Elephas maximus indicus: one gene and its partners. The protein of the gene in region 3 interacts with the protein of the main gene of each other region in a pairwise test. Links are inferred from orthologs where the notes say so. Each region holds a gene or a part of one and is shown on either strand. Other genes may lie near its edges.

What was found.
Region 1: the proteins of FHL3 (region 3) and THEG interact in binary tests that used the Homo sapiens proteins (3 or more experiments, as listed by UniProt). The two-hybrid records come from large-scale screens. The link is inferred for Elephas maximus indicus from reciprocal best matches to the Homo sapiens genes FHL3 and SPMAP2.
Region 2: the proteins of FHL3 (region 3) and MRPL27 interact in binary tests that used the Homo sapiens proteins (3 or more experiments, as listed by UniProt). The two-hybrid records come from large-scale screens. The link is inferred for Elephas maximus indicus from reciprocal best matches to the Homo sapiens genes FHL3 and MRPL27.
Region 4: the proteins of FHL3 (region 3) and PATL1 interact in binary tests that used the Homo sapiens proteins (3 or more experiments, as listed by UniProt). The two-hybrid records come from large-scale screens. The link is inferred for Elephas maximus indicus from reciprocal best matches to the Homo sapiens genes FHL3 and PATL1.

What each region holds. Positions count from the first base shown.
Region 1 is NC_064821.1:158,811-166,430, forward strand, and holds the start of THEG (testicular haploid expressed gene protein), read right to left. Parts: upstream 3,012-7,620; coding exon 2,698-3,011; intron 1,831-2,697; coding exon 1,726-1,830; intron 1,436-1,725; coding exon 1,367-1,435; intron 934-1,366; coding exon 872-933; intron 1-871. UniProt on the Homo sapiens protein: May be involved (but not essential) in spermatogenesis.
Region 2 is NC_064837.1:43,281,603-43,288,740, reverse strand, and holds the start of MRPL27 (39S ribosomal protein L27, mitochondrial), read right to left. Parts: upstream 3,013-7,138; 5' UTR 2,981-3,012; coding exon 2,941-2,980; exon of another isoform or gene 2,905-2,940; intron 503-2,904; coding exon 371-502; intron 1-370. Other genes in the region: crossover junction endonuclease EME1, read left to right, coding at 5,001-5,775, 5,861-5,985.
Region 3 is NC_064821.1:79,579,902-79,586,894, forward strand, and holds the start of FHL3 (four and a half LIM domains protein 3), read right to left. Parts: upstream 3,013-6,993; 5' UTR 2,842-3,012; intron 1-2,841. UniProt on the Homo sapiens protein: Recruited by SOX15 to FOXK1 promoters where it acts as a transcriptional coactivator of FOXK1.
Region 4 is NC_064825.1:122,446,820-122,454,702, forward strand, and holds the start of PATL1 (protein PAT1 homolog 1), read right to left. Parts: upstream 3,009-7,883; 5' UTR 2,783-3,008; coding exon 2,768-2,782; intron 892-2,767; coding exon 780-891; intron 1-779. UniProt on the Homo sapiens protein: RNA-binding protein involved in deadenylation-dependent decapping of mRNAs, leading to the degradation of mRNAs. Acts as a scaffold protein that connects deadenylation and decapping machinery.

The DNA of each region.
Region 1 (7,620 bases), about 79 Mb from region 3:
GGGGTCTTAAAAACTAGCAAGCAGCCATCCAAGATGCATCAACTGGTCTCAACCCACCTGGAGCAAAGGAGAATGAAGAACACTAAAGACACAAGGTGATTATGAGCCTAAAAATCAGAAAGGGCCACATAAACCAGAGACTACATCATCCTGAGACCAGAAGAACTAGATGGTGCCCAGCTACAACCGATGACTGCCCTGACAGGGAACACAACAGAGAACCCCTGAGGGAGCAGGAGAACAGTGGGATGCATACCCCAAATTCTCGTAAAAAGAGCAGACTTAATAGTCTGACTGAGACTAGAATGATCCCAGAGTTCATGGTCCCCAGACCTTCTGTTGGCCCCAAACCAGAACCATTCCCAAAGCCAGCTCTTCAGACAGGGATTGGACTGGACTATGGGATAGAAAATGATACTGGTGAAGAGTGAGCTTCTTGGATCAAGTAGACTGATGAGACTATGTGGGCATCTCCTGTCTGAAGGGGAGATGAGGGGGTAGAGGGGGTCAGAAGGTGGCGGAATGGACACAAAAAGAGAGAGTGGAGGGAAGCAGTGTGCTGCCTCATTAGGGGGAGAGCAATTAGGAGTATATAGCAAGGTGTTTATAGATTTTTGTATGAGAGTCCGACTTGATTTGTAAACTTTCACTTAAAGCACAATAAAAATTTTTAAAAAGCCGTCCACTTGCAGTATTTCTGTTATAGCAGCAATAGACGACTAAGACAGACTCCTAGAGGCAGGAAACGGGCAGGTGCAAAGACCCCCGAGGTCCTGGGCACCTAGGTTGGGCCCACGGTGGGGATAGGCAGTACCCCTTCTAGGACCCCACCCCACAAGGCGATGGTTGACACCAGGTGCACCCTTCTTACCTGGCACTGTGATAGATAAGGTGGTATCCTGGAGAAACCTCTCTGTCCAGTATACAGATGGCCTGGAATACACCAGCACAGCCCAGTGGGAGGGAGGCATGGGGTGCTCTGCTCGGAAACAGAAGCTCAGGGGCTCCCCGCACATACCCACAGAATGGGGGACAGTGACAGGGGAGAAGGGGCAGGAAGGGGAGCAGCTCCAAATGAGGGGCGGGGGCAGGTCAGAGAGGACAGTGGGGAGAGTGTCTCAGCCCCATGGGTTGTATGTTATTGTGAGCAAAGGCCCTGTTTGCGGGGCGGGGGAGGGGGGGTGGAGGTGTAACTAAGAACAGGGACGAATCATGAAAGTCGGCCCCCTTGGGGTGAGGAATGGCCCTGAGGAGAGTGAGCCTCCATCCTTGCCCTGGGGAAGAGAAGGGGGTGGCTCCAGCAGAGTGACCCCGGGAACCTGGCACGTTCCCCCACGGGATGGGGGTGGGGAGGGACAGCACTTACCAATAGAGGGAGAAGTGCAAGGTCATGTTGCAAGGGGAAATCCAGGCATAGCCCTGGCAGCAGCCCACCCTGCGATGAGAAGGTCCAGCCCCCACTGCCCTCTGCTCTGGGGCTCGCCTTGGGCCCACACTCCCAAATCTCCTGGACACCCACCAGGGGCACCTGCCCCCCAACGAGCCCCACCTCCAGTATCTTAACTGCTTATCCTCCCTCAGCACCCTTCCTAACTGCCTGGTCCCCACCTACCCTAACTCTGTCATGGGTGGGAACCTGGGGAGGGCCTGGGAAGATGCAGAGGGGACCCCGGGGGGGCACTTCCCCAGCTCGCTCCCCCAGGCCTCTAACTGGCATGCCCTCACCTGTCTTTCAAGACTTGCCAGTTGGTCTTGGGTCTTGCCAAATCGAAGACCCTCCTCTTCTTCCTCCCTCTGGGCACTGGCCACTCGTGGCTGATGGACAGCCGGCTTTGGGAGAATCAGAGCAGGCTTGGAGCAGGATTTTCTCCCCAACATGTTGGGGAGCCCAGAGCCACTTTTAGGTCTTGCTCAAGCATCTTGAATCTGCTCTCACCCCACCTAAGTGAGTCTTCTCCCTCAAAGGCACCTCTTTGGGGCAGCATTCTGGGGTCAAGAGGACTTGGGTATGTGGGCTTGGTCTTGTCACCTGACTGCCCAAGCCTCAGCTCCCTCCCCTCTGAGGTGGATGTGAGAATGGGTCCCATCTTCCAGGAGTGTGGTTGTGATTGAATAAGGTAATGTTCACTATCTCGCAAACATTTATCAAGCACCTACTGTATACCAGGCCCCGAAGGTGGAACTGAACCAGGACCCCTCGCTCTAACCTCTCCCCTCTGGCATCTGAATGCTGTCTGCAGACTCTACCATTGGCCACCTAGTGAACAGGGGGCTGTGTTCTCCCACTTTTGCCTCAAAGGCTAGTGGAGGTGCTGTCACCTGGGCCTATGGCCTTCATTCCCAGAACCACATTCAGAGGCCCCAGGAGGCAGCTCAGCCTCCTTCTGGTATCCAGGAGATGCGGTCTGGTTGTCATGGGTGTGGAGCTGGTGCTCCTTCTCCGTGTCCCCCCACTGCCCTGTGCCCCCCCACTGCTACATCCCGCTGCACCCCGCTGCCCCACTCCCCCCCCACTGCTCCATCCCTCCCCCACTGCCCAGCCCTCCCTTCCCCATCTCCCCTCCCCCGTCCCCCCCCCGTTGCCCCTACTCCCATGGCTTCCCTGTTCCCCGCCCCCGCTGCCCCGGTACCCCCGGTGCCCCATACTCCCCGCCCCCCGCTGCCCTGTACTCCCCTGTTGCCCCCTCCCCCGCCTACCTCACTTCAGGAACGTCCTCGTCCTCCTCCACGTCTTTCTGCAGGACCCTCTCCAGATTGGAAAGTGCCTCCTCCGCCTCCTGGCCCTGGAGGACTTCCTCTCCGGCCACCTCCTCTAGGGGAATGTCCTCCTCGTTGTCCCCCAGTCCCAGCGCAGCATCGTCGGGGTCCTGGTACTTGGGGTCCAGGGCCCCCTGGCTCTCGTTGGCGGAGTCCTGGAAGCCCAGGACATCACGGTCCTGTTTCATTTCTGCCTCACTCGCAGCCTCAGCGACATGGTTGTTGCTGGTCAAACTCGGCCTGTGGTCCCCCATGGGACCTCCTGGCCTTGCGCCTTCCTCCCTCAAAACCCAAGTGGCTCTGCCGTCGTCATGGCAACAGGAGAATGTCCCAGCACATTCTTGGGGCATTCTGACCTGTGCACTGTCCAGCCACCCGCACAGGACTGAAACTCCTCTGTGGCCTGGAGCTCAGACCTCCACCTCGGCCTCGCTCTCCCCTCCAGCCTCACTGGCCTCAGGGAGGCAGCCACTCCCTCATCTGTCTCTCTGCATCCCAGCTTCTTGCTTGATTTCTCCATGGCATTTGGCATTGCCTAAACAATGTCACAGGTTTTTCTTCCTCAGTGTCTGTCTCTGTCTTCCAGAAAGTTGTCTCCTGAGACCAGCGGCTGAGGTGAGCTACTCACTGCCGCTTCCCTACGGGCTGCAACAGAAAACGCTCCGCTCAACCCAAATGGATTCAGATTTGAATGTCAAAATAAAACTCTAAAACTTACAGAAAAAATTAAGGTGGAGTGGTACAAACATGTGGCACTCAGATGAGAACCTAAAGGTTGGTGGTTCGAAACCACTCCGTGGCACTGCGGGAGAAAGGCCTGGAGCAGTTCCACTCTGTAACACATGGGGTCGCCATGGGTCAGAATCAACTCAACAGCACCTTTTTTTTTTTTTTAAATCTTTCTGCCCTCGGGGCAGGGAAGGATTTTTTTTTTAAGAGACACAAAAAATGCCGACCATGAATTATTGCTAAATTCATCCATATTAAATTTAAACACTTCTGATAATCAAAAGATACCTAAACAAAATGAACAGACAAATCACAAATCTGAAGACAGTATTTGTCACATACATAGCTGATAAGTACCCGTAACACACAAATAATTCGTATATATCAGTAAGAAAAATGATGAACCAAGTAAAAATTAGGCACAAGACATGAAGAGACATTTCTCAGAGGTGAAAGCCGTATGGGAAACATTATATTATAGTTAGGCGTGGAATTGCATATTCCTTTTTTAACATATTTATTGTCTTTTTACCCTATTAGAGTCGAAGCTCCACGCCGGCTCGCGCAGTAACCAGCCGCTGAGCGAGGGAAGGAGGCAGCAGTACCTAGAGCGACCACAAGATGTCGCCCCACTCAAGCGCGCGGTGGCTTCTCCAGGCGTTAACGTCAGACCGAGGCCTTGTCCGCACATCCCGCTGCGTCTTCCCAAGTCTGTCCTTTGGTGGGTTTTGTTACCGTCACTCCCACTACACTGAGAGGAAAATAGGTTCAGAGAAGCGAGGTCACTGGCCCAAGATTGCAAAGGTCGGATCTCTCCAGAACCCAAAGCCTGCACTGCGGAATCCAGCGCTGAGGAAAGAGGAAGACCTTGGTGGAGGCTAAGGAGCCAGTGCAGCGGGAAATGTCCAGGGACTGCGGGCAGAACAGCGTCTTCCTGGGTCTAAATTCACCTCCCTGGATCAGCCAAAGCTGTGCCTTCCCTCACTCAGCAACGGTCTGTGGCTCCCACCTTCTACAAGAGCTCCCACGGGAGGGACAGACTGGTGGCTTCAAGGTGCCTGTAAGTGGAATGCAAGGCCAGGTTAAAAACTATCAAGCGTGGTGAGAAATCACTCCCTTTCCCTTTAACCACTGTCCCTCTGGCCAGAAACAAGGCTTCTGATATCAAAATCCTCCGTTTTGTTTTTGAAAGCACAGCCCCGTTCCTGAGGATAAGTGAGGAGACAAAACAGGATGAGCAAAGCTTCCTGCTTCCCACCCTGAGACTAAATTAATTCTCCCAAAGGGGGCGTAGCTAAAGGAGGGGGAGTCAAAGAGTAAACTGGGGGGGTGTCAACATTGGGGGGCCAGAAGAAGGCTGGCCAGGGACCACACCCACTCAGCCACCTGCCCCAGGGTCTGGGGACAGTGGAGAGCCCAGTGAGGCCGGGCGACCTGAGAGCAGAAAAGACAGCTCCTCCCCCTCAGACAGAGCCTGGGGGAGGTGGCATGGGGGCGTCCATCTGCTTTGCCCTTTATTAATATTTACCAGGGTCTCTCTCCCTCAGCACTGCTGACATGGGGGCTGGATCCTTCTCTAGGTTGGGACCGTTCTGTCCACTGCAGGGTGTTGAGCAGCATCCCTGGCCTTCACCCACTTGACACCAGTAGCACCCCCTCAGTCATGACAACCACAAATATCCCCAGACATTGCCCAGTGTCCCCTGGGGGCAGCATCACCCCAGGGAGAAGCCCTGATAGGTAGGGAGGCCTGGTTTGGTGTGCCAACCAGCAGGGCCCTGGGATTAAATACGTGCTGCCTGCTTTCATTAAAGTAGCAAAAATCTCACACTTGTACTTGAAGCTTTGACCCTTTGACCCTGAAAAGGAAGCTGCTGTTGGGTTTGGTTTCTCTGGTCCCAGTTAGGGGTCCATTTTCTCCCATAGCAGCAAGGCCCAGAAGGAAGTATCACCTGGAGTCTGGGCAGAGCTCAGAGCTGCGCCCACAAATGTCTGCCCACACAACTGGGCACCAGGGAGAAGACTAGGTCCTAGTGCCTGAAAGGATGCCGGGGTTGGCAGGGAGCGTGCCGGGCCTTTGCGTTCTGGGGTGTTTGGAATGTAGATGCCGTGGCTGGGGCCAAGATTGGGGTAGCCAGTTGCCAAGGCGTCGACGCCAACTCGTGGCAAGCCCCTGTGTATCAGAGTAGAACCGTGCTCCGTAGGCCTTTCAGTGGCTGATTTTTTGGAAGTAGATCAGCAGGCTTTCTTTTGAGGACCCTGTGGGTGAACTCAACCTCCGACCTTTCGGTTAGCAGGCAAGCACGTTAATCATTTACGCCACCCAGGGACTATGGTTGGGTTCGAGGCCTGTTAAAATAGAAGCTCCTTTTTCTTCGTGGGTGCAGTCCTGACTAGAATAGCAGCGCTCCACATTCCCCTGCGATGCCTGCCCAGCCCACAGTAGACGGGGGAGGAGGGGCATGTCCTTCCCCTTGGTATTTTTTAACTTTTTGGTGTCATATCCCCCACGCGTCTGTCGGTTTGTCATACTATGGGGGCTTGCGTGTTGCTGTGATGCTGGAAGCTTTGCAAGCAGTATTCAAATACCAGCAGGATCACTGTTATGGATTGAATTATGTCCCCCCAAAATATGCCTATCAATTTGGCTAGGCCATAATTCTCAGAATTATGTGATTGTCCACCATTTTGTCACCTGATGTGAAAAGCCTATCTCTGTGATGTTAATGAGGTGGGATTAGTGGCAGTTATGTTAAGGAGGCAGGACTCAAGTCTACAAGACTGGATTGCATCTTAAGCCAATCTCTTTTGAGATATAAAAGAGAGAAGCAAGCAGAGAAACAGGGGGACCTCACACCACCAAGAAAAAGGAGCTGGGAGCAGAGCGTGTCCTTTGGACCTGGGCTTCCTGCATGGAAAAGCTCCTAAACCAAGGGAAGATTGATGACAAGAACCTTCCTCTAGAGCCTAGAGAGAGAGAAAGCCATCCCCTGGAGCCGGCACCCTGAATTCAGACGTCTAGCCTACTAAACTATGAGAGAATTAATTTTTCTTTGTCAAAGCCATTCACTCATATTTCTGTTATAGCAGCACTAGATGACTAAGACAGTCTCCCATGGCAGACAGGTTTCAGCTGAGCTTCCAGACTAAGACAGACTAGGAAGAAGGACCTGATGGTCTATTTATGAAAAAATTAGCCAGTGAAACTTTATGCATAGCAGTGGAACACTGTCTGATATAGTGCTGGAAGATGAGCCCCTCAGGTTGGAAAACAAAAGATGACTGGGGAAGAGCTGCCTCCTCAAAGTAGAGTCGACCTTAATGACATGGATGGAGTAAAGCTTTTGGGACCTTCATTCACTGATATGACAAGACTCAAAATGAGAAGAAACAGCTGCAAACATCCATTGATAATCGGAACCTGGAATGTACGAAGTATGAATCTAGGAAAATTGGAAATCGTCAAAAATGAAATGGAACCCATAAACATCGATATCCTAGGCATTAGTGAGCTGAAATGGACTGGTATTGGCCATTTTGAATTGGACAATCATATAGTCTACTTTGCTGGGAATGACAACTCAAAGAGGTATAGCATCACACTCATCATCAAAAAGAACATTTCAAGATGTATCCTGAAGTACAACACTGTCAGTGATAGGATAATATTCATACACCTACAAAGAAGACCAGTTAATACAACTGTAATTCAACTTTACACACTGACCACTAAGGCCAAAGATGAAGAAATTGAAGATTTTTGCCAACTTCTGCAGTCTTAAATTGATTGAACATGCAATCAGGATGCATTGATAATTACTGGTGATTGGAATGTGAAAGTTGGAAACAAAAAATATGGATCAGTAATTGGAAAATATGGCCTTGGTGACAGAAACCATGCCAGAGATCAAATGATAGAATTTTGCAAGACCAATGACTTCTTCATTGCAAATACCTTCTTTCACCAACATAAATGGCAACTATACACGTGGACTTCACCAGATGGAATACACAGGAATCAAACCGACTACATCTGTGGAAAGAGATGATGGAACAGCTCAATATTATCAGTCAGAACAAGGCCAGGGGCTGACTGTGGAACAGACCATCAGTTGCTCATATGCAAATTCAAGT
Region 2 (7,138 bases), on a different chromosome or scaffold from region 3:
CCAGTTACTGGGACAGCACAACACACTGCTAAGAAAACACGACAGTTCTCACCTTCCTGGCTCAAATGCGGCATACCACCCCCGACCAGAAACAACTTCCACATGGTCCAACACAAGCAACCCCCTGTCCTCCAACCCCCTTTTCTCTAGTCACAAAGCCAAGGTTCATACCTACCCACCCCTCCCCAAGGCTCCCTACTCCTCCTCAGATCTCATCTGCCCCTTTACTCCAAAGACAAACGCTCCGCTCTGGTGGGCTAAACTGAGAGTACAGGCCCAGGCACTTGCATGGTCTCTCTGCTCTTCTAAGAAACATCAGGAGCAGCAGGGTAGGTGCAGCTGGGAAACAAAAGCCAAGACATATTCTCACCTTCCATCTTCTTGATGCCATAGCGTCTGCCAGATGACTTTCCACCAAGGTTTTTAGAGCTTCCACCTGTCTTCTTGGAAGCATATCTGACAGCAAGAGCTGTAGCCTGAGGGGGGCTCAACAGAGCTGTAACTACAGAGAGGTAGCAGAAACATTGTTCAGACAGACAGGCTCTCAATCAGGCTCTTTCTTGGCCTCAATGGGCTATTTACTAAGCTGAGAGGTGAAAGGGGAGGCGGTGGGAGGGGAGGTAAGGGAGATGTGACGGGGGAGCAGAAATGCCACTTGAGTGTGTTGACTTTCAGGGAGTGTCTAGAAGTCCCTGGCCTTCTCCAAGGGGACAACTCATTCCTTATGGTATAAGCACTGGGTAAAGTATGTGTGGGGGGTACTGAAATATAAATGGAAAAAATTAAATAAACACCATGTGCCCTGGGTCCTGACGCATTCAGTTCTGCACAGATGAAATAAACACCACAAAAATAGCAGAAGCCAGCAAGAGAACACCACAGAGCAGCCTGCTTCAGCCTTACTCACCATTATGCCCTCAAGACCAGACCACAGAGCCCAGCAACAGGACACCCAGAAAGAGGCTGCTTCTTTGGCCTCACTCATTGTGGGCTCCTTTTTAAGCTATCCACCATCCACTGCACACCAACATACCAGGTACTTGTAAACAAAATGGGGAACTTGTCTGAGGGCAGCTCCCACAGGCTCCTGGTCATTTTCAGAAAGCTGGACTGTTTCTTCCCAAAGCCCATCAAACAGAAGTCCCACTGAGAAAACCAACAGCCTGCCCTTGTTAATATGATATCTCCATACTCATTCCAAAGTGCTCAATGGCATTTATTTTAAAAAGGAAAATGAACTTAAATTCATACTAACCAAGATGGGACCCCTTTCTGTATGACAAGTGCAGGGCTGGCAGTCCCTGCCTTCAGTTCTCCAGACACAACATAATCAGGACCAGAGACTAGTTGGGGCAAACCAAAGCCAAAAAACCAAACCCACTGCTTCAAGTTGATTCCGACTCATAGCCACTCTATATGACACGGTCGAACTGCCCCATAGAGCTTCCAAGGACCGCCTGGCGGATTCGAACTTCAGACCTTTAGTAAGCAGCCCTAACACTTAACCACTACATCGGCAGCATTTTCAGTTGGGGCAAAGGACCATAAATGAAAACTTGCTGAACGCCCAGCACTGGGGCCTACTTACCTTTAACAAAAACCCGTTGCTGTCGAGTCAATTCCAACTCATAGTGACCCTATAGCACTGGTTAGAACTGCCCCACAGAGTTTCTAAGGAGGGCCTGGTGGATTCAAACTGCCAACCTTTTGATTAGCAGCCATAGCACTTAACCACTAGCCACCAGGGTTTCCTACTTACCTTTAAACACCTATTAATTCGATCATTCACTCACTTACTAAACTCAAAAACCGGGCTTATGATTTACCTACATGAGCTCATTCACAAACCTTTACCCTACTCCCCATCCTCCTCAAAGTAAATGGTGCCACCATCTACCCAGTTACTCAAGTGGAAACAAAATCACTGCAAATTCCATCTCTTTGCTCACTTCCCATATCCAGTTCAGGAGCAAGCTCTGTTGATTCTACCTTCAAAACGGATCTCAAATACATCCATTTCCCTCTGAGTTCACTGTGGCACAGTGGGTAAGGGCCCAGGTGCTAACCAAAAGGTCTGCGCTTTGAATCCACCAGCCGTTCCTTGGGAATGCTATGGGACAGCTCTACTCCAACCTACAGGATCACTATGAGTCAGCATCGACTCCCCTATACTGGGTTTGGGTTTTTAATTTTTCTTCCATCTTGGCTAAATCATCTCTAGAGCTACTACAAGTTTCCCATCTGGTTTCCTCATCTCCACTCCTATCCCCTTTAATTCCACACAATACCGATATTTGATTCTCAAAATGTAAAACTGGATTAAGTCACTCTCCTGGCTCTCATGCTATACAGACCCAGGCCTCCTGTCATCCTTTAGGTCTTAACTTAAACATTACCTCCTTAGAGAACTTCCCTGACCACCCAATCTCAAAAGATACACACTTTCATTTTTTTGTTTCTTTCACTTGTCACGATTTACAACAATTTTATTTATTTACTTATTTATTGGCTCACTCACTAGAAAAAACTGTGCAAGGCTTAGGGACCTTGTCTTCACGTTCTGTTCGGATCCCCAACAACAGAAGCCCTCAATCTGTTGAATGAATGCATTTCCTTTTTGAGCTACAGTGTATTATTAGCCTATTTGATAGATGAAAGGATCCACACAGACCCAGAGACGCTTGTCACCAAGCGCCAGGGAAGCAATGCATGCACCAAAAGAGACACAAGGTCACGTGTTCCTTGATAACCCCCCCCCCCGTACCGGCCCCTAGCGGTGTCACGTGATCTGCGATAGCCGACCCTCAAGCCTCGCGCTCAAGGCACTGCGCCTGGCACACTACCCGGCGCGGCCAGAGTCCTCCGCGGGGAATGGCCTCCACCCCCCCACCCCCCGGCCTCCTGGCTCGGGCTGCACACCGCCCCTGCAGCATCCGTTACCAGCTGTCCGCGCCCTCAGCGCCGCCACCGCCAACGCCATGTTTGCTGTACACAAGCTTCCGATCTCAAAACTTCTGCTTCCGCTACCAGGAGAATTACTTCCGGGTCCTGCGCCGCACTGGAACGGGTAGCGCCAAGAGTTGCAGGTGAGCGCTCAGTGTTACGCTGGCCTGGCCAGGGCTTCCTTACTGGGCCCCGTAACGGAAGGCTTTGTGACAGGGCGGTCAGGGGTCCCTGCAGGGCATGTGGATGATACTTGCGGACGCCCGCGGCCTGGTGCTGGCATGAGGCGCGGAGCGTGCCCGGCAGGTGCCCTCTTGCCCTACTCCTTCGTTTTGCAGGAGTGAACCGAGGCCCAGCGAGGGCACAGATGAGGCTTCTTCCCTCGTCATTTAGGTTACTTTATGGAGCGGTTGCTGTGTGCCAGATACTATACTAAGCGCTGTAGATGAGTTGTTTCATTTAATTGTCGTAACCTTATGCAGATATTATTTTCCCGATTTTACTGAAAAAGAAATCGGCTCATTAAGTTACATGGCTCACCTGGGGTCACATCTATAGTATTAGTAAATGTTTACAAGATGACTCTTGCATGTCGTGTGCCTTCAAGTTGATTCCCACTCATAACGACCCTGTAGGACAGAGTAGAACTGCCCCATAGGGTTTCCAAGGCTGTAATCTTTACAGGTCTTTTATCCCACAGCTGGTGGGTTCGAATCACAGATTTCTGGGTCAGCAGCAGAACGTTTAACCATTGTGCCACCAAGACTCCTGACTCTTGCATAAACCCCCCTCCAAAAAAACTGTTGCCGTCCAGTCAACTCCGACTCCTAACGACCCTATAGGACAGAGTAGAACTGCCCTGTAGTTTCCAAGGAGCGCCTGGTGGATTTGAACTGCTTACATATTGGTTAGCAGCTGTACCTCTTAACCACTACGCCACCGGGGTTTCCAACTCTTGCATAGAACCCAGCAATTCCACTGCTAGGCATATACCCAAGAAAACATGCCCACACAAAAACTTGTACACAAATACTCATAGCAACATTACTCATAATAGCCAAAAAATGGAAACAAGCCAAATGTCCATCAACTGGTGAAAGGATAAACAAAATGTAGTATACCCACACAATGGAATATTATTCAACCATAAAAACAATGAAGTACTGATACAGGCTCCGACATGAATGAACCTTGAAGACATCATGCTAAGCGAAAGTAGCTAGTCCCAGAAGACCATATATTATATGATTCCACTTTATGTGAAATGCCCAGAACAGGCAAATCCACAGAGACCGAAAATAGTGGTTACCAGGGGCTGGAGGAAGGGAGGAATGGGGAGTAACTGCTAATGGGCATAGGGTTTCTTTTTGGGGTGATGAAAATGTTCTGGAATTAGATAGTGGTGATGGTTGCACAGCCTTGTGAATATACTAAAAAGCACTGAAGTCTACACTTTAAAAGGATGAATTTTATGGTATGTGAATTTTATCTCAACTAAAAAGAAAAAAATGACTTTTGGTATCTCCATCTCAAATGCAGAAATCAACAAGGGGGTGGTGTTGAGTCTTGTTAGTACCTCCGTTAAAATTTTGTAATTGTAACCTCCACTTTGTTTATACCCACTCCTTGTCCTAGAAGGGATTTGAGGAGGGTTCCTGTTAGACTAAGGAGCCCAAGTGCTCGGCTGCTAACTGAAATGCCTGCAGTTCAAACCCCCAGCCACTCTGCAGGAGCAAAGACCTGGTGATCTGCTCCCAAAAGATTACAGCCTAGAAGACCCAGTGGGGCAGTGCTGCTCTGACACAAAGGGTCGCCATGAGTCAGGATTGACTTGACAGCACATAACAAGGCCTGTCAGACTACAGACATAGCTGTTCTGAGTTCCAGATTGAAATGTGTTGGGGCCACATCCTATTTCTCTGTTTCTCTGTATCTCAGATTTATTTCCATAAGGCTTGGCCATAGAACACATTTAGTGGATCAAATTGAATGCCACAGTCTGTCTCATCTCTTTTTTTTTTTTTTTTTTAAGGTAATTACCTTGACAGCACATAGCGATGGCTCTAGGGAAAACATCACTCTTAGTGGATTCCAGTGAGAGTGATTCTGAGGAGTTGCCAGTATTTGCCTTTCTGAAAACGAAACCATCTTCCTCAAAGAGATGGCAGCCTCAGAGGGAGGGGAAGATTGTAGTGATTAATGCCTCAGATTCTAAGGCCTCCTGCCCTCCATCACCAGGGATGAAAGATCTACCACCTGTCTCGGACACATGGGAAACTGTCACACAAACAGAGCCAGTCAGGGTGCTAAGCAGTGGAAGTGAGGGTGAGGAGGAATTTATTCCCCTGGCTGAGAGGCTCAAGTGTAAATTTTTGACCCGCAAGCAGCAGCCAAGCCCTGAGGACTCTAGTTCCCCAGTTAAAAGTGTCTTAGATCACCACAATAATGAAGGAGCATTATGTGACTGGAAAAAACAGCCCTTTCCAGAGATCCCTGGTGTTCCCCTCCATGATACCTCAGAGAGGAGCGCTTCAAATAACAAGCATCCTATCTTAGACAACCCATCCCGTCAGCTTCCAGCCTACCAATCTACCTGCCCTGTCCAGGACAACAGCTCGACAGTAACAACATATTCTGAGGTCCCCATGCCTCAGAAAAGAACCAGGCACAGTCAGAAGGCCCGGGCAAAAGACGGGCATCAGGGACAAGTGAACCAGAAGGAAAGCACCCTGAGGCAACAGGAGAGGAAGAAGAAGGCCTTGCAGGCAAACAGGCTGAAAGCCCAGAGGCCAGAGGAATGCTTAAAGCACATCGTTGCTGTCCTGGATCCAGGTCCTCCTTGCCTCTTACCTCACCCTGTGCTGAGTTTTCTGCTTTCCGGGCCATCCACTGACAGCCCCTGTCCCATCTGTTGCAGTGCTCTTACAGATGGAAGGCGGGGGCCAGCTCCTCGGGGCACTGCAGTCCATGGAGTGCAGCTGCGTGATTGAGGCCCAGGCTGTGCCTTGCAGCATCACCTGGAGAAGGGCTAGGCTGTCTGAGGTAGGTGTTTTCCGGCTTACATCTCTCCTCCCCTGCGAGTGCCAGGGTAAGTGTGGTTTTCCTTTTGAAGGCTATGTTATCAGTCAGGCCCCAGGAGGAAAACAGATGGCACACTCACCTTAGGATAATTTGAGGAGGATTTAATAAAGGGACTGTTTTCCAGGGTATAGGCAGGGTACAAGGAAACGAGGGACAGTGCGGTGCCTCAGGGTGATAACGGCATAGCTCAGGGCTTATCAACCTCTGGTACTGCTGACATTTCAGACCATGCTGACCTTGCTTGTCAGGATGTTTAGCAGCATCCCTGGCTTCTGACCGCTACATGCCAGTAGCATCCCTCCCTGTCCTGACAATCAAAGATGTGTCCAGATATTGCCAAATATCCTTTGAGGGGGGAATCACCCTTGGTTGATAATCACAGCATAACTGTTGCCATCCCGAAGCTTGAAGGGGTGAAGGGAGGGAGTCGTTATTCCTTAAGAGAAGCTTCAACCTCCAGTAGAAGGGTGTAGCAAACCCTAGGCCATCCCATGGAGAGGAAGCCAGGGAAGAAGATACCCTGATTCACTCTTGGTCCCTCCCACCTCCTACTGGGACTCCTCACTGGCCACTCACCTGGAAGCCAGCGGGTGGGTGGCCAAAGGGAAGGTAATCTGCACAGGACCCCCATTTCTCTAACTGGGCTTTGGGATTGGCTGGGCTTGCATTTCAATCTCAGCTTCAGCTCTGATTCTCAGCTATGACCCTGAGCAAGTTATTTCATCTCTTTGAGCCTCAGTTGCCTCATGTATAAATGAGGAAACTTGTTGCATCCCTTTCAGTGCCCCCTGTTTTGGGGACTAAATGAGATAACCCAGCACTGAGCACGTATTAGGCACACAATAAGTGCTCCTTCCCCTACCCTCACTCCCCAGGTTACTACAGCTCCTGTGCCTTTGACTCCTCTCCTCTGTGAATCCAGCATCCTCCACCCCTCATTTTCAAGAGTCTATACATGAAATGTGAAGAGCCTTTCCTCTCTTGGATTTCATGCCTTTCTCATTCCACTTTTCAATTTGAAGGCATTAGCAAACCTTTGTGTTCACATGGTAGCTAATCCTTTCAAGGCACTTCCATGTTTTCTGTTGTGTTTCAGTCATGGTGGTCCTGTAAG
Region 3 (6,993 bases):
ATATAGACACACAGCTGGCACTTCCTAGCAAACCTCCTAGAGCTCAGAATGGCTGGATAACAGACTTGGTGTGTGGAGCAAAATCTTAAATCTGGGTTTGAATCCTGGCTCCCTTCACTTACTAAGCTGGGTGACCTTGGGCAAGTCACTTAAGCTCCCTGAGCCTATTTTCCCATCTAATAAAATGAGGTAATTATAACTCTCTACCTCCTAGGGTTGTTGTAAGGTTTAAATGGGGTGATACTTGTAAAGTACCTGGTAGATAGTAAACAAAAAAAACCAAACCCGCTGCCATCGAGTCGATTCTGACTCATAGTGACCCTATAGGACAGAGTAGAAGTGACCCATGGTTTCCAGGGGGCGCCTGGTGGATTCGAACTGCTGACTTCTTGGTTAGCAGCCAAAGCACTTAAGCACTATGCCACCAGGGTTTCCTGGCAGATAGTAAACACTCAGTAAATGTTGGCTGTTGGTCTTTTTATTATTAGTCCATTTTTCATAGTGGGGTCAGATGGCAGTTTCTCAGCCAGGCCTGGTGTTATAGATTGAATTATGACCCCCAAAAATACATGTTGTAAATCCTAACCTCTATGCCTATGGTTATAATCCCATTGGGGAATGGGTTGTCTTATGTTAATGAGGCGGGATTAGTGTAGGGTGTATCTTGAGTCAATCTCTTTTGAGATATAAAAGAGATTAAACATAAGTTAGAAGCAGAGATGGGGGAAGAGAGGTGCCAAGCCATGTGAAGATTGCTCAGGAGCACAAGCTCAGAAGAGACTAGGACCCTCCCCCAGAGCCAACGGAAAGTCTCCTACTAGAGCTGGCGCCTTGAATTAGGACTTCTAGCCTCCTAAACTTCCAGAAAATAAATTCGTTTGTTAAAGCCACCCATTTGTGTTATATTTCTGTTATAGAGGCACTAGATAACTAAGACATAGGTAAGGGAACTGTACTTTCTCAGTGTAGCTGGGGAATAGAAGAGGCCCTGAGGCCCATGGGGCTGGCTGAGGAGACTAGGAGGGCTAGTGGTGGCTCTGGCCCAGCCACCCTGCTCCAGCAAGCCTATCTCTGCCTGCAACCTATCCCAGAGGCACAGGTGTGTGCGCACCAGCATGCAGCTTTGCCCTCCCAAAGAGCATTCACACCCACTACCTCATCAGGCCTCAAAAGACAGGCATCACTCTCCAGCTGAGCATAAGAATGCCAGGGCAGGGCCATGCCCAAGATCACTCAGGTAGTCAGAAAGCCCAGGTCTCTGCCACCCAGCCTGGAGCCCATTCCCGCTTCTCTCCCTGGAAATCCTTTGAAAGGGGTTTGGTGGTGGTGGAGGGGCTGGTCAGTATTTGAGGGCAGGGAAACAGGAGATGCTGGGTAATATCACCAGGACTGGAGCTTGGCTCTTCTCCCCTTTTACCCCCCAGCTGCCAGCTCTGCGATTGGAAGACACCCAGAAGCCTTTCCAATTACCCATGCCAACCACTCAAACCCTCCAGCCCCCAACTGTCCAGGAGGGCCCCACAGCTGTGAGTCAGGATCAGGACAGACACCTCCCCCAGCTCCCAGGAGTTGACAGGAGTCTTAAGGGGTGAAACCAAACTCCCCCACTCCCCACTACCAGGCACCAATCCCAAACTCCTTTCCCCCTTCAGTTCCCCCAAGGGACCTGGAAGTCAGAGAAGCTTAGGCAAAGAGGGATGGGGCACAGGATCTGGCAGCTGCTCTGGGGACAGGGGAGGAAGAGTTCATTCACCCTAGGTCCCCCAGGGCTGAAGCAATGCATCCAAGACTTGAGTTTAAAAATAAGTTGGGGCTGCCTTGGTGGCTGTGTGTATTCGTGGGGCTGCTTCTTCATCTCAATCTCACTGTCTCAGGTCCTGGGCCTCGGGGGGCTCAGCTGGCTCAGCTTCTGCTTCCCCACATCCTGGCTTCCCCATCTTTCCTGGCCTGGGTCTCTGGGTCTATCTTGGAAGCTGTCAGCTCGCCTGTCTCTCTGCTCCCATTAAATCTCAGTCTCTGGAGTTCTGGCTCTGCTCTGCTCATAATTTCTCTGTCTCAGCACACTTCAGCAGCTTTCCTTATGTTTTTGGGTGTCTGTCTTTGACTAGCTATCTCCCAGTGGTGGCCACCACCTCTCTGGATCTCTGCCTCTGTACACTCAAATCTTGGTCTCACAGTCTGTCTTTAGAAAGCCTCAGTGTCTCCACCTCTACCCTCTGAGCTAGACAGTGAATCCAGAGGCGGGCTTACCAGGAAGCTAAAGAAACATAAAGTTCAGGGCACTCAAAGGCCCTAGCAATGTGTTTACGGGGTCATATGAATGTCTTTTCTTAAAATGCTCCACAAAATCCTAATCTGTCCCTATATCTCGGGTCCGTCTCTCGGTGACTCTGTACACCAAGTCTGTGTCCGTGTTTCCATTATGTCTGTAGCCCGTCTGTCTCCGCAGACCCGGAGCCTAAGCCAACCGCTCATGTCCCTGTCTCTGTCCCGGTGTCTCGGTCCACCGAGGTTTCTGCCAGCCTGTTTCTCGGACCCTCCCGGTCTCTGCAGGCCGAAGTCTGTCTCTCTGGCTTTTCTATTTCAAACTTCGTCCCCTCCCCCGCCCCACTCTCGAGGCAGCCCCCGCTCCGCCAGGCGGCCGGGAGCGGTCCAGTCGGGACAGCCGGCGCTCCGGTGCTCAGCGCCTCCGGCTCCCAGCGTGCCCGGTGTCCCCGGCCGGACCTGGGCAGGGGGCGGGAGCCGCAGCTGTCCTTAACCCTGTGCGGGCTGTCTCCGCTCCCCGGCCCGAGGGAGGGGACCCGGCTCTGGGATTCAGAGCCGGGTCGGCGGGGAGCTCACCTCGAAGCAGGCGGCAGCAGCGGGGCGCAGCGCCCGTGAGGGTGGGGACAGGAACCGGGGGTCGCGTCTCTCGGCGGCTCCTACCTGCGGGCCGGGCCGAGCGGCGGCCGAGCGAGCTGCCGGCGAGGCTGCCGGCTGGAGACGGACTGTGTGGGCGAGTGGGAGCTTGGCCCCAACCCCTCCCCGAGGAAGTGAGCGCGGGAGCCCGCCCCGCCCGGCCCCCGCCCCCGGGCCCCCCTGCCCTCAGGGTGCGGACCCCGCCCCCGGTCCCCCAAGCGGGCCGCTGGGGGCCAGGCCCCGCCCCCACCTCCCTTTCAGACTGGAGCCAGCCCCAACCCCCCTCCCCCAGGCCAGCCTAACCTGGCCCTCCCAACCTTCCCGGAGGGAGGGACCCCACCCCTGCCCCCTCCCTGCAGCCTTTGCTGTCCTCTCTGTCTCCCCTTCTGTGCCCCCAGCTGCAAGCGGGGGATTGCCGTATTCAACCCCGGACAAGAGGCAGTGGACCCCGCAGACCAGGGTCTACTAGGAGACCAAAGAGTCCTCATGCCCTCTTTGTGTCCCCCTACCGGCTTTCCCCAGGGGTCACACTCAGCTTGAGCGTGTGTAGGAGGCCTTAACCCAGCCTGGAGGAGGGGATGGAGTCAATTCAGCTGTCACGGCTGGGTCAGTGGGAACTCAGGTGTTCTCCGGAAACAGGGGGTGAAGAAAGGGCCTCCCTATAGTGCCCTGACCTTCGAAGAGTCTTATTCCACAACCCTGAGCGGCAAAAACAGAGGTAACTACCTCCCCAACCCCAGCTGAAACCTGGCACTGTGAGATCCCGCCTTGATTTCCGTAGTGCCCAAAAATAGTTTTGACCTTTGATGCCCAGGGGAGACCCTAATCCTTGGCCCCATGATCTTTGGGCTTTTTTTTTTTTTTTTTAGGAGGGGTGTGAGGATGTGAGTGGCAGAAATAATGGAGGGGAGGGAACCCTCCCCCGTTTTCTGCAGTTTCTGAGCCTCTGGCTTCCTCCCTGTGCCTGGGAGGGAGAGCTGGCACCTGCCAGGGACATGGTGCCTCTCCAGGTTCTTGAGGCCACCCCCCCTGGGATCTTCAGGCTTGTCACTAGGAATAAATAGCCTCCCTCTGGAGGGAAGGGGGAGGGAGGAAGGAGGCTCTGCTGTACTGTTTGCAAAACAAGAGACAACAAACCAACCCTGGAAATAACCTCGGGCATCTAGAGATTGAGGTACCCACAGAGGCCCCCCAACCCCTCCCCAGGCTGAGTCCTGCCAAGCTCTCAGGGCAGGGACCCACTCCCTCCCATGCTGGGGCTCCGGAGGACCCTCCTCTCCCATCTCTGCATCACCTGCCTGGATTCCCACTCCTAAATTGCTAAATTGCCCTTCGGGCCAGGTTTCCTTTCTTAATTAAATAATTGCTTGTTTATTATTACTGTTGTTGTTGCTGCCTAAACTGCAAGTTCCATGAGGGCAGAAACTGGGTCTATCTTGTTTACTACTGCATTCTCAGTATTTATTCCAATGTCTGGCACATAATAAATATCTGATGAATGAATGAATGAAGACACTGCTTCAATCTGACTCCAACCCCCTAGTTTGGACCATAGGCACCTGCTATCCGGAGCCCAGGAAGTGAGCAGCTAGCCTATGGGTGGGCCCTTTCACTGGCATTGAGGTCCGCAGAGTCTAGGGACTGGTCTCACAGGTGCAGGGGACTCCCAGCCCTGGGGAGTCACTGAGTTGGAGTAGATGGCAAGAGGGACGTCTGCTCTGGGGTGAGGGAAGGGTGAAGGTAAGAAGCTTGCAGAAATGAAGTGGTTATGAGTAAGTAAGGAAGGCTCTGGATTAAAGGCAGAGTATTGGGTCTCTGCTGTTTTCTCATAGCTTGAATCTCTGCCTAATAGCCTTAATTATAATACGAGCCAGTGTTTCCTGAATTCTTACTTTGCACCAGTTCCTATCTAAGCACTTGACATGTAGGAACTCACCTGATCATCCAACAAATTGATGAAATATTATTTTTATCCTTACTTTAAAGATGAGAAAAGGGAGGCAGAGTGACACAACTAATAATGGCAAAGCTTCAAACTGAAATCCAGACAATCAAATGTCAAAGCCCCTTATGCCAAAAATAAGCTTAACCACTAGGCGCTACAGCCTCTATAGTCATTTAAGCCTTGGTCTCTTCATTTGTTGAATAGTTGACTCCCTATCACATAGTGTTGTTGTGAGTATTGGATGAGAGCACACAGTAGGTCTTCAATATTTGGTAATTACCCCCACTCCTCAAACCCACATACCCTTTCATGGTCAAGTGTTAAGGTTCTGTTGCTTGGATTTGGAGCCTGGAGGCCAGAGAAGGTTAGGACATCTCCTGGGGGAGGGGGACTGGCTTAGAGAAGGGGGACTGTGTCTTTTTCCCTCTCCATTTCCAGCTCCCCGATGGGCTCACATTTCCCTGCCCACTCTATTTCGGTTGGCCCAGGAGGACGTGCCGCATGAAGGCCTGGGTATCAGCCACATGGACTCTCTGTTCCCTATCTGTCTTCCCCCACTCTCTGGGGAACAGGTGTGTCTGAGCCAGGGCTGGAAGCAGAGTTTCTAGTGCTGCATGACAGGTTCGGGGTGAGTGAGATCTGGTTGTCCCTTTATACATCTGGGAGGTCCCACACAGCCTTCCTTGTCTCATGGTGGAAGGGGGCTTGCTCAGGGTCCCCAGCTGTTCTACCACCTTGGAAAGGTTTTCAAAGGAGGCCTGGGTGATGACTGACAGGCCTCTCATGGTTTCCTCTGGGTGCTGAATCACTCTCTGATGCCTGTAACCACAAGTCCTCCTTCACCCAGAGAGAAAACTTCCTTCCTTCTCTGAGTGTATTGCTCACTCTTACACGTACTAGGCAGCCTAGAGCCCCTGCAGGCCTCATGGCTTAGCCGACACCCTTTTGCAAATTGCCCAGAAAACACTGTCCTCGTGACCCCAAGCCTGACGATGGGTCTGTGGGTGGAGATGGTGAAATGAGTGACTTCTACTGAGCATGGGGGTAAGGGAGAAGTATGGTACAGGGAGCCCTAATGTGGTTAAATGCCTACCTTGTGCTAAGTGCTATCGTTACCTCCTTTAATCCTTATAAAAACCATACGATGTGTTATTATTATTACCACCATTTCATAGATTAGGAAATGAGGCTCAGAAGAGTTTGAGACTGTGGCCCCAAATCATAAGCCCACAGGTGGTCGATGTGCAGTTCAAATCCAGGGCTGACTCAGGGTTCCCCTAGGGCACAAAACTGCCTTCTGGGCATGCCTTTTTTGGAGGAAGTGCAGGAGTGGCTGGGCTGCCACCTGGTCACTCGGCCTGATGTGTGAGCTTCTTAATCTGGCTCATTATTGACTCTTGGCTTTTTGTAAAAGAGATGGAGGAAGTACAGCCAGAATGTTCCTTAGAAGCAAGTGTGGCGAGAGTTCATCTCTCTTGCTTTGGACATGTTTTCAGGAGGGACCAATCCCTGGAGAAAGACATCCTGCTTGGTAAAGTAGAGGGTCAGCAAAAAAGAGGAAGACCCTTTATGAGATTGATTGACACAGTGGCTGCAATAATGGGCTCAAACATACGTACTATCATGAGGATGGCACAGGACCAGGAAACGTTTCATTCTGTTATATGTAAGGTTGCTATGAGTTGGAGCTGACTCTACAGCACCAAACACCACCACCATTATGTACTAGACACCATGCTGGGAACCAGAGGCACAATGGTTCTAGTTCTAGCTATTCCACAAACTAGTCGTGTGTTCTCCATTAGACTAGCCTTCTAAACTGTGCTGTCCAATGGAGTAGCCACTAACTACATGTGGCTGTTTAAATTAAACTTAATTAAAATAAAAAAAATTAGCTCCTCAGTCACAATTCCATGTTTCATGTGTTAAATAGCCACACATGCCTATTGGCTACCATATTGGAAAGTGCAGATATAGAACATTTCCATCACTGGCAGAAAGCTCTACTGGATGGCGCAATCTGGGTCTCTGTGTTGCCTGGGAAATGGGGATAATAACACAGTAAAGCCTGCAAAAGCTGGAACTTGTGTAAGGAGGAAACCTGTTAGAGAAGGAAAACGCAAATATTTTTCAGTAAATAGAGTGCAATA
Region 4 (7,883 bases), on a different chromosome or scaffold from region 3:
GGTTCTTTGACTTTTTCCAATTCTAAAAATATTTATTCTATAAACAAACATGGAAAAATTTCATTTGCGTACAAAACTTTTTTTTAAACTCATGAAATCTTATCGTCAGCATTCTTTGGGATTAAAAAAAAAAAAAGACCAAACCATTGCTGTTGAGTCGATTCTGACTCACAGTGACCCTACAGGTCAGAGTAGAGCTGCCCAATGGAGTTTCCTAGCAGCGCCTGGTAGATTTGAACCGTGGACCTTTTTGGTTAGCAGCCATTGCTCTTAACTATTATGCCACCAGGGTTTCCTTGGGATAAAAAGCTTCTATTTTATTAAAAATAATATAAGACAACAGTGAGGCCAAGCAATATGTTACTGATAGACTGAATTTTAAAAGAAACTCACACATACCCCAGAACCTGAATTTTCTTCTAGTTCGCTGTATATTCCCTTCACTTAAGTTATGTGTTCTACACATAAAAATTTCTCTCTTCTAGGATTATTTCAAACCTCTTTCAAATGTCTACTTCTGTAACTATATACTGTCAACCTTGAGCTATAGGTCATATAGCTAGAAGGGACAGGCCTTAGAGAATACCTGGTTTTATTAAAAAAAAAGTGAGGCAAAAAGAGGCCCAGAGGAGGAGGGTAGATGCTTCTAGTGAAGACCGAACTATTCTAAGAATAGAAGATGTCTTGCCAAATTAGCGAATGAAGGTCTACTATGAAGACAAAGCACTGATAAAGGAGTAAGAGACCAAGATGATATGAGAAAGAAAGATGCCACTTACCAACTGCACCTGACCCGAATGTATCATCATTGAACTGATCAATCTCTTCATCTTCCTCTCCTAGGCCCTGAAATGCATCTTCATCTTCATCTAGAGGACAATCCTCCAAAGACTGAAAAAGAGGAGAAAAGGTATTAGCTATTCATCAAGTTTACATCCTTGTTTTAAAAATGTTCATTTTCTCTTCCCAATGATCATAATAGCCTTACTATGACTTTTTGTGAAGATGGCATTTCCTCCACTTCCCAATTTGCCTGACTTGGAAGATTCCAGTATCCTCCTTTCTTTCATTTACTATTTCCTGTTCCTTACTTCATTTAATCTTGCTTCCCAAGTGTTTCATTTCTTTAATTTATCAAGAATTTAATAGTAACATTTCCCCACGTAACCAGAAATTAGGCCTGAAACTTTCTTTACATCACTGGTTGGAGTAAAATGAGAATGAAAATAAATGCTTCATTATTTTGCTTGAGTATTATACATCTTTTTTCAACCAAAATCTCATTTTCCTTATTACATCCATGCTGTGTTTTTCAACTGCTACTCTCTTGTAAAGCTTTCTCTGCATTTTCCATCCTTCTCTCTTCTTTTTTCTACAGGCTCAAATTCTAGTGACAAAACAGAAGGCTAAATTTTCAACCAGTAAGTGAATTCTGAAAAAGCTGCAACATGGCAAATTCAAGTTCCGGTCCCACAAGTCATGTTCTTTCTGACTGAGTACCTATGATGTTTCAGGCTCTAAGCCTCAGTCTCTTAAACTGCAGTGCAGGTACAGTATCACCTATCTTGGAGAGTTGTTAGCATCAAAAGCAGTAGCAATGGGCTGCTGAACAAATGCTAGATATCACTGTATCGGTTTTGGTGCTCCATTTTAAACATTTTCCCCTTCCACTTCACTCTTCAATAGATTTATTCTCCATGTTTTCTTTTGGCAACTTCTGCCCACTTTATCCCATCATCTCTTTATGTTTACATAAGATCAGTTTGGTCTAGGACCTCTCCCATCAAGTATGGAGCTCATCTGTTCACAATTTCCAAAGGCTCCGAACTGGAATGTCACAATCTCTCAGTAAGTAGGTTGACAATGATCTTGCCTGGCTACCTCTTAGCTACGCTGTTCCTAAAGGAATGATTAGGCCAAAGGGCCACTCTACCCATCTCTAAGTCCTCCCAAACTTATATAAAGCAGACATGCAATTCCCTCCACATCAGAGGCAACTTCCAGCAGCACGCCCTTCCAAATCACAGAGATCTACTTAACCAAATCACCGCCTTTCTGAATCACAAAGAATCCAGACAAGCCTTTCATTCACAAATACAGAAACCTTTGCCCAAAAATAAGGAGTCACTGAAGGTCACACAGTGGGTTAGTGACACGGTCAGAACTATTGCTACATTCCCGGCATCCGTCACCAAACCCAGGTCTCCCTCCACTCAAGAAAACTTCTGCTGGACACGCCCCCCTCCCAACTCTGGGCTCTCATTAGTAAACAGTCAGGGCCCCAGTCAAACGGCAAGTCCCCGCTCCCCTGACCGGGTGGTTGTTAAGTGTGTATGGGTGAGTGTCAGTAACCGGGGGAGAAGAGGTGCAGACTCCAGGGCGGGAAACGCGTCTCTGGGCGTCCCCGGGTGACTCTACCTCCTCAGGAATGGTCACGGGGTTGATGCACACCGGTCCCCTCCTGGGCTCCTCCCGGGACAGAGGTGGAGGAGTCTGGTTACAGCGGTTAACGGGTCCTCCCCACCGCAAAACAGAGGCCAGCTCTCCCCAGCGGAATTGATGGGGCAGTCCCGACCCCCCGAGACCGGCTCACAGCCCTCGGATTAGACCGATGACCCCCGGTGGTGGTGCTCCGCTGTCCCGCGGCTCCCGCCACCTGTCCCCTAACCCCCACCCAGGAGCGCGGGACGGACGCGCCCGGGGGGGGGGCGAGAGGAAGAGGGGCGCGTGAGGGAGGGAGGGGTCACTTCCGGCCGCAACAGCTCACCTCGTAGCGGAACATTCTTGGGAAGGGGGGGGAGGGAGCGGGGAGGGGAGTAGGGGAGGGAGGGAAGAAACGCTGACTCTCCGGGCTTCTCCGCGAGCGGGTCCTCCACCGGCTCGCGACCCCTGGCCGCCGCCGTACGCCCGGAGCGTGCGTGGGAACGTGCGCAGGCGCGCCTGGGGGAGGGCGGCCGCCCCGCTGGGCGCAGGGCGGCGGCGGCTGCGCAGGGACAGATTTGGCGTCCCGCTTCCTAGTCTTGGCGGCGGGAAGGAGGTCCCGTGGCGAGAGACTGCGCAGGCGCTGCCCATCGGGGGCGTCCTGCGAGTCGGGGACTTGCAGCTCCGCCCCCTGTTTCTGCTTGCCCGCCCCGCGCTCACCTCGGAGCTGAAAGACAGTCACGAGTTTTCCGTCAGCTGCGGGGCGGAGGAAACCCGTGTGATTGTCACAGGATATGGCTGTGAAGGGCCCCGGGTTTAGTCTGGGCTGGGAGAAATGGAGCTTCCCCAACTGCTCGGTGTCCTCACGATACGATCTGCGCCAAGCAGAGAGCGAAAAGATAAATTCATAGTCATCGTAAAGGGCAGAATGTGTCTCACTGTCAGCGGCGCATTACCCGCAGAATCAACAGCAGCCCAGGGCTGTGATTTATGTGGTTTCAAGTGATGACTGCCCCGTTTTGTAAAAAGCCGAAGGCATGTTCCGGCGGTTGAATTAGGGTGGTATTTTTAGGCGCCGGGCGCTTCGGGCACGTGGAGAACCGCAGAGGGCAGCCCCGCCGTTTCCCTTCCTGGTGGGACGACAGCAAGGTCATGGAGGCCGAGGAGCCTGGGGGCGCCGCTGGGTGACACCGCTCCGTTAGAGGATCAAGTCCAGAAAAGACTTTGTCCGGGTTATAAACCTTGGCACCCAGCTTCCAAAGTCTGGTGGCTGCTTACTGCTCTTTAATCCCGTTTGTCTTTACTGAACCATCTCTTTCCTCGTAAAGGACTAAACTTGCACGACTGGGAATTAATTCTTGTGCGTTTCGCAACCCTTTTCTCAACTCCTTTCTCTGGGTGTCTCTTAAAATGCAGCCTCGCCTAGGAGTGGCGTATAGTAAATTCCTCACTTGTTAGTGTGACCGGATTAATCAGCCTGAGTATGGGGAACGTTGCATTTGGGAATAGTAGTTCAGGGTGAGAATCAATGCTTTGATACTGGCTAAGAGATATTGGGCAAGTTAATCTGAACTTCTCTGTGCCTTAGTTTCTTTGATTGTAAAATGGGTATAATTATACCTGTTTGTTGGATGGAGTAAGTGATTCGATGACACAATGATTGAACCTACTACTACTAATAATGGTTGAAGCCTGCCTGGCATTCTGCTAGGTGCTCTACATAGTCCTTATCTCATTGAATCCTTATGTCAACCCCATGAGGTACATACTATTATTTTGTCCATTCTATAAATGAGAAAACTGAGGATTAGAGAGGTTCAGTAATTTGCCCCAGGTCACCCAGTGGCTAAGTAGGTAGGGGTAGCCTGGGTCTCTCTGATTCCAAAAGCCCAATCTCTCGATCACTGTGTCAGGATAAAAGCAAATGTTTACCTGGGCCAGGCCTGAACCTTAAGAAGTGCAAGCAGGCCTGGGATAGCACGATAATTGGTTTTCAAGCATGCATAGAACTTTACAAAATTTCGTGTACTGGGTAACAGCATGTCTCAACAGTTAACACCGAAATGGTAGACTAGGAGATAGTATACTATGGCCGATAGGTCGAATCTGGGCAGCTGCCTGTTTTAATAAATAAAGTTTTACTGAAATTCAGCTGCACTCATTTATTCACATACTGTTTTTGCCTGCTTTAGTGCTACAATGGCAGAATTGAGTACTTACAATGAGGATTATATTGCCTGCAAAGCTGAAAATATTTATTATCTGGCTCTTTGCAAAAAAGCTTTCTGATTCTTGATATTGCACACCATATTTTCTCATTATTATATTAAAAATAGGTTAGAAAAAAACCCTATACTTTCAGAAATTAAAAAATTAAAATAAAACCTCTAATTCATGGACCAATTAAGACAACACAATAGAAAGTCAAAAATACTTAGAAATGAATGATAAATGCAACATGCCAAAACTTTTAGGATATAGGTAAAGCAGCTTATATAAGAAATTAGAGAAGCCTGAAAATAAGAACTATAGGATAAACCCAAGGAAAGAAAGAATGAAGATAAAAGCAGAAATTAAGAAAATAGGAAACAAGATATAGAGAAGATCAACAAAAATTCCTGTTTTCTCTCATGAAACACCTGTCTATAAGGAGATTATAAGATCCCCTTTCGTTGTTAGTTGCCATCCAGTCCCGACTCATAGGGACCCTGTGTGTAACAGAAGGAAACATTGCCTGGTCCTGTGCCATCCTCAATGGTAGATATGTTGAAGCCCATTGTTGCAGCCACTGTATCAACTTATCTCATTAAGAATCTTCCTCTTTTTCACTGACCCTCTGCTAAGCATGATGTCCACCTCTAAGGGTTGGTCCCTCCTGATAACACACCCAAAGCAAGTGAGACCGAATCTCTCGCTTCTCACTTCTAAGGAGCATTCTGGCTGTGCTTCTTCAAAGATAGATTTATTTTTTCTGCCAGTCCATGGTATATTCAGTATTCTTCGCCAACACTGTAATTCAGAGTCGTCAGTTCTTCAGTCTTCTTTATTCATTGTCCAGCTTTCACGTGCGTATGAGGCAATTGAAAATATCATGGCTTGAGTCAGGTGCACCTTGGTCCTCAAAGTGACATTTTTGCTTTTTAACACTTTTGAGAGGTCATTTGCAGATTTGCCAATCCAATCTATTGTTTGATTTCTTGTCTTTTGCCTCCATGGACGTTGATTATTGATTCAAGTAAAATGACATCCTTGACAACTTCAGTATTTTCTTTGTTGCTTATTGGTCCAGTTGTGAGGATTTTTGTTTTCTTTATGTTGAGATGTAATCCATACTGAAGGCTATAGTTTTTCATCTTCATCAATAAGTGCTTGAAGTCCTCTTCACTTTCAACAAGCAAGTTTATGTTATCTGCATATTACATGTTGTTAACAAGTCTCCCTCCAATCCTGATGCCGAGTTCTTCTTCATATAATAAAAAAAAAATTCCCCTTTTTTCTCTAAGACACTGGTCTATGAGGGAGATTATGGGATTCCCTTGAAGAGAAAAATTTTTTTGAGTGGTTTACTGGGATTTTATAAGATGGAGAAGGCACTAGTTCTTTTCACAAGAGATTCTTTAGAAATAAAGTATGGCCCTGCTGAGAGTATCCCTTGAGTGGGTGGAAGAAGAGAGCTGTCTCCTAAATTCCAGGTTGGTGGAAGAGGCTTTTGATAACTGAGAGAGGCCATCTATTAGAGAAAACCACTACACCAGGCTTTATTTGGCATCATTGTGTCCTTTCCCCAGAAGCTGTAAATAACCCATTGTGTTATTTACAGGCTCTGTGAATTCTTGTGGGACTAGTTTCAAATGATAATAATTTTTATTAAGTAACATACATCTCTAAATAGTGATTCTCAAACTTTAGGATGCCTCTGAATCACCAAGAGGGCTTGTTAAAACACAAACTGCTAGATGCCACCCCCAGAGCTTCGCATTCAGGTGATGCTGATGCTGCTGGGTCCAGTACTATGAGAACCATTGCTCTGAAAGCATTGCCTGTGAGTGCTTGCAGAGGGCTACAGAGAAGGAGAAGAAGAGTTCTGGAGTGGCCGCTGGGTCATTTTTCATGTAACCAAGAAATCTGTGGTGAACCTTCCAGAAGGTAATGGGGACCCTTGGTGCAATAGATGTTAGGACAAAAAGGATTACCCAAATAATGAAAATCGAAATTTACAAAACATAGCTTGTGATGGATTAAACATGGCCTCAAATGCTTTGACAGTACTGCCCTTAAGAGGTGCGTTCTGTGAGCCCTTCTCCTTGAATCTGAACTGGACTTTGACCAATGAAGGATGGGAGAAGTGATGCCATGCCACTTCTGGATCTAGTCTTTAAGAAGATTGGCAGTGTGAGTCCATACAAGATACTCAGTTATCTTGCTGCAAGGATCATAAAAGCCCTGAGACTATACAGAGAAGGAGAACTGCCCAGCAGAATCTAATTTACCAACAACTCTGGTCAAGACAGCAGGCATCTGAGTGAAGCTGTCTTGGACTCTCCATACCAGCTAAGCTGCCAACTGACTATTGAGTGACCCCATTTGACACCAAGCACAGCAGAAGAATTACTCATCCAAGCCTTGCCCAAATTCCTGACGCACAAAATGTGATTTTCAACAACAAAATCTGGAGTAATTTATTACTCAGGAATAGATGACTGGAACAAGTCTGTTTAGAAAAATTATACAAAACTTGGAAATGAGGGGGAAAAAGATTATTGTGTACTCTCTTTCAATGTCATAACAAAGCATTACCTGACAAGCCTGCCTAAGGATCATTTGAAGTTCCAGGGGAAGGGAACTGTGTTTGACTTACTATTTGCTGTTAATGAGGTCTCAGACTCTGTAAAGTTCCATGTTAACTTATAGAAGGTTGACATGTTGCAAATTACTTTTTTCAGTAGAGATAATTTCATCTTGGTAGAAAAGATAATCCCAAAGGGGCCAGTTTTATTGCCCTGCAGGACATTAGTCATTTAACTTTTGAGTCTTATTGGAGCATTTTTTGACTCATTGTGTATATAGTTCATAGTTTCTTATATCTTCTTTTGAACCAGCTTTGCCATCCTGCTGGTTCTCTCGTTGATGAGTTAAATGAATGTTTGGCATATGCTCACAGTATATGTGAATAAGAGTCATGTTTTTAACTTTTTGAAAATTATACTTTGGTAAAGTATTGTTTACATTAAAGTTGTTTTTTTTTTTTTTGAAGAGGACTCAATTCAATTTGATTAATATTTGTTGAGAATCTATTATATAAAATGTCATGAACAAGGCCCAGGTAGTTTATTGGATATGAGCTAAGTCCCGAACTGTGGTATATTAGCTTCCTATTGCTGCTGTAACAAATTACCACAAATCTACTAGCTTAAAACAACACAAATTTATTCTCATAGTTCTGGAGGTCGGAAGTCCCAAAT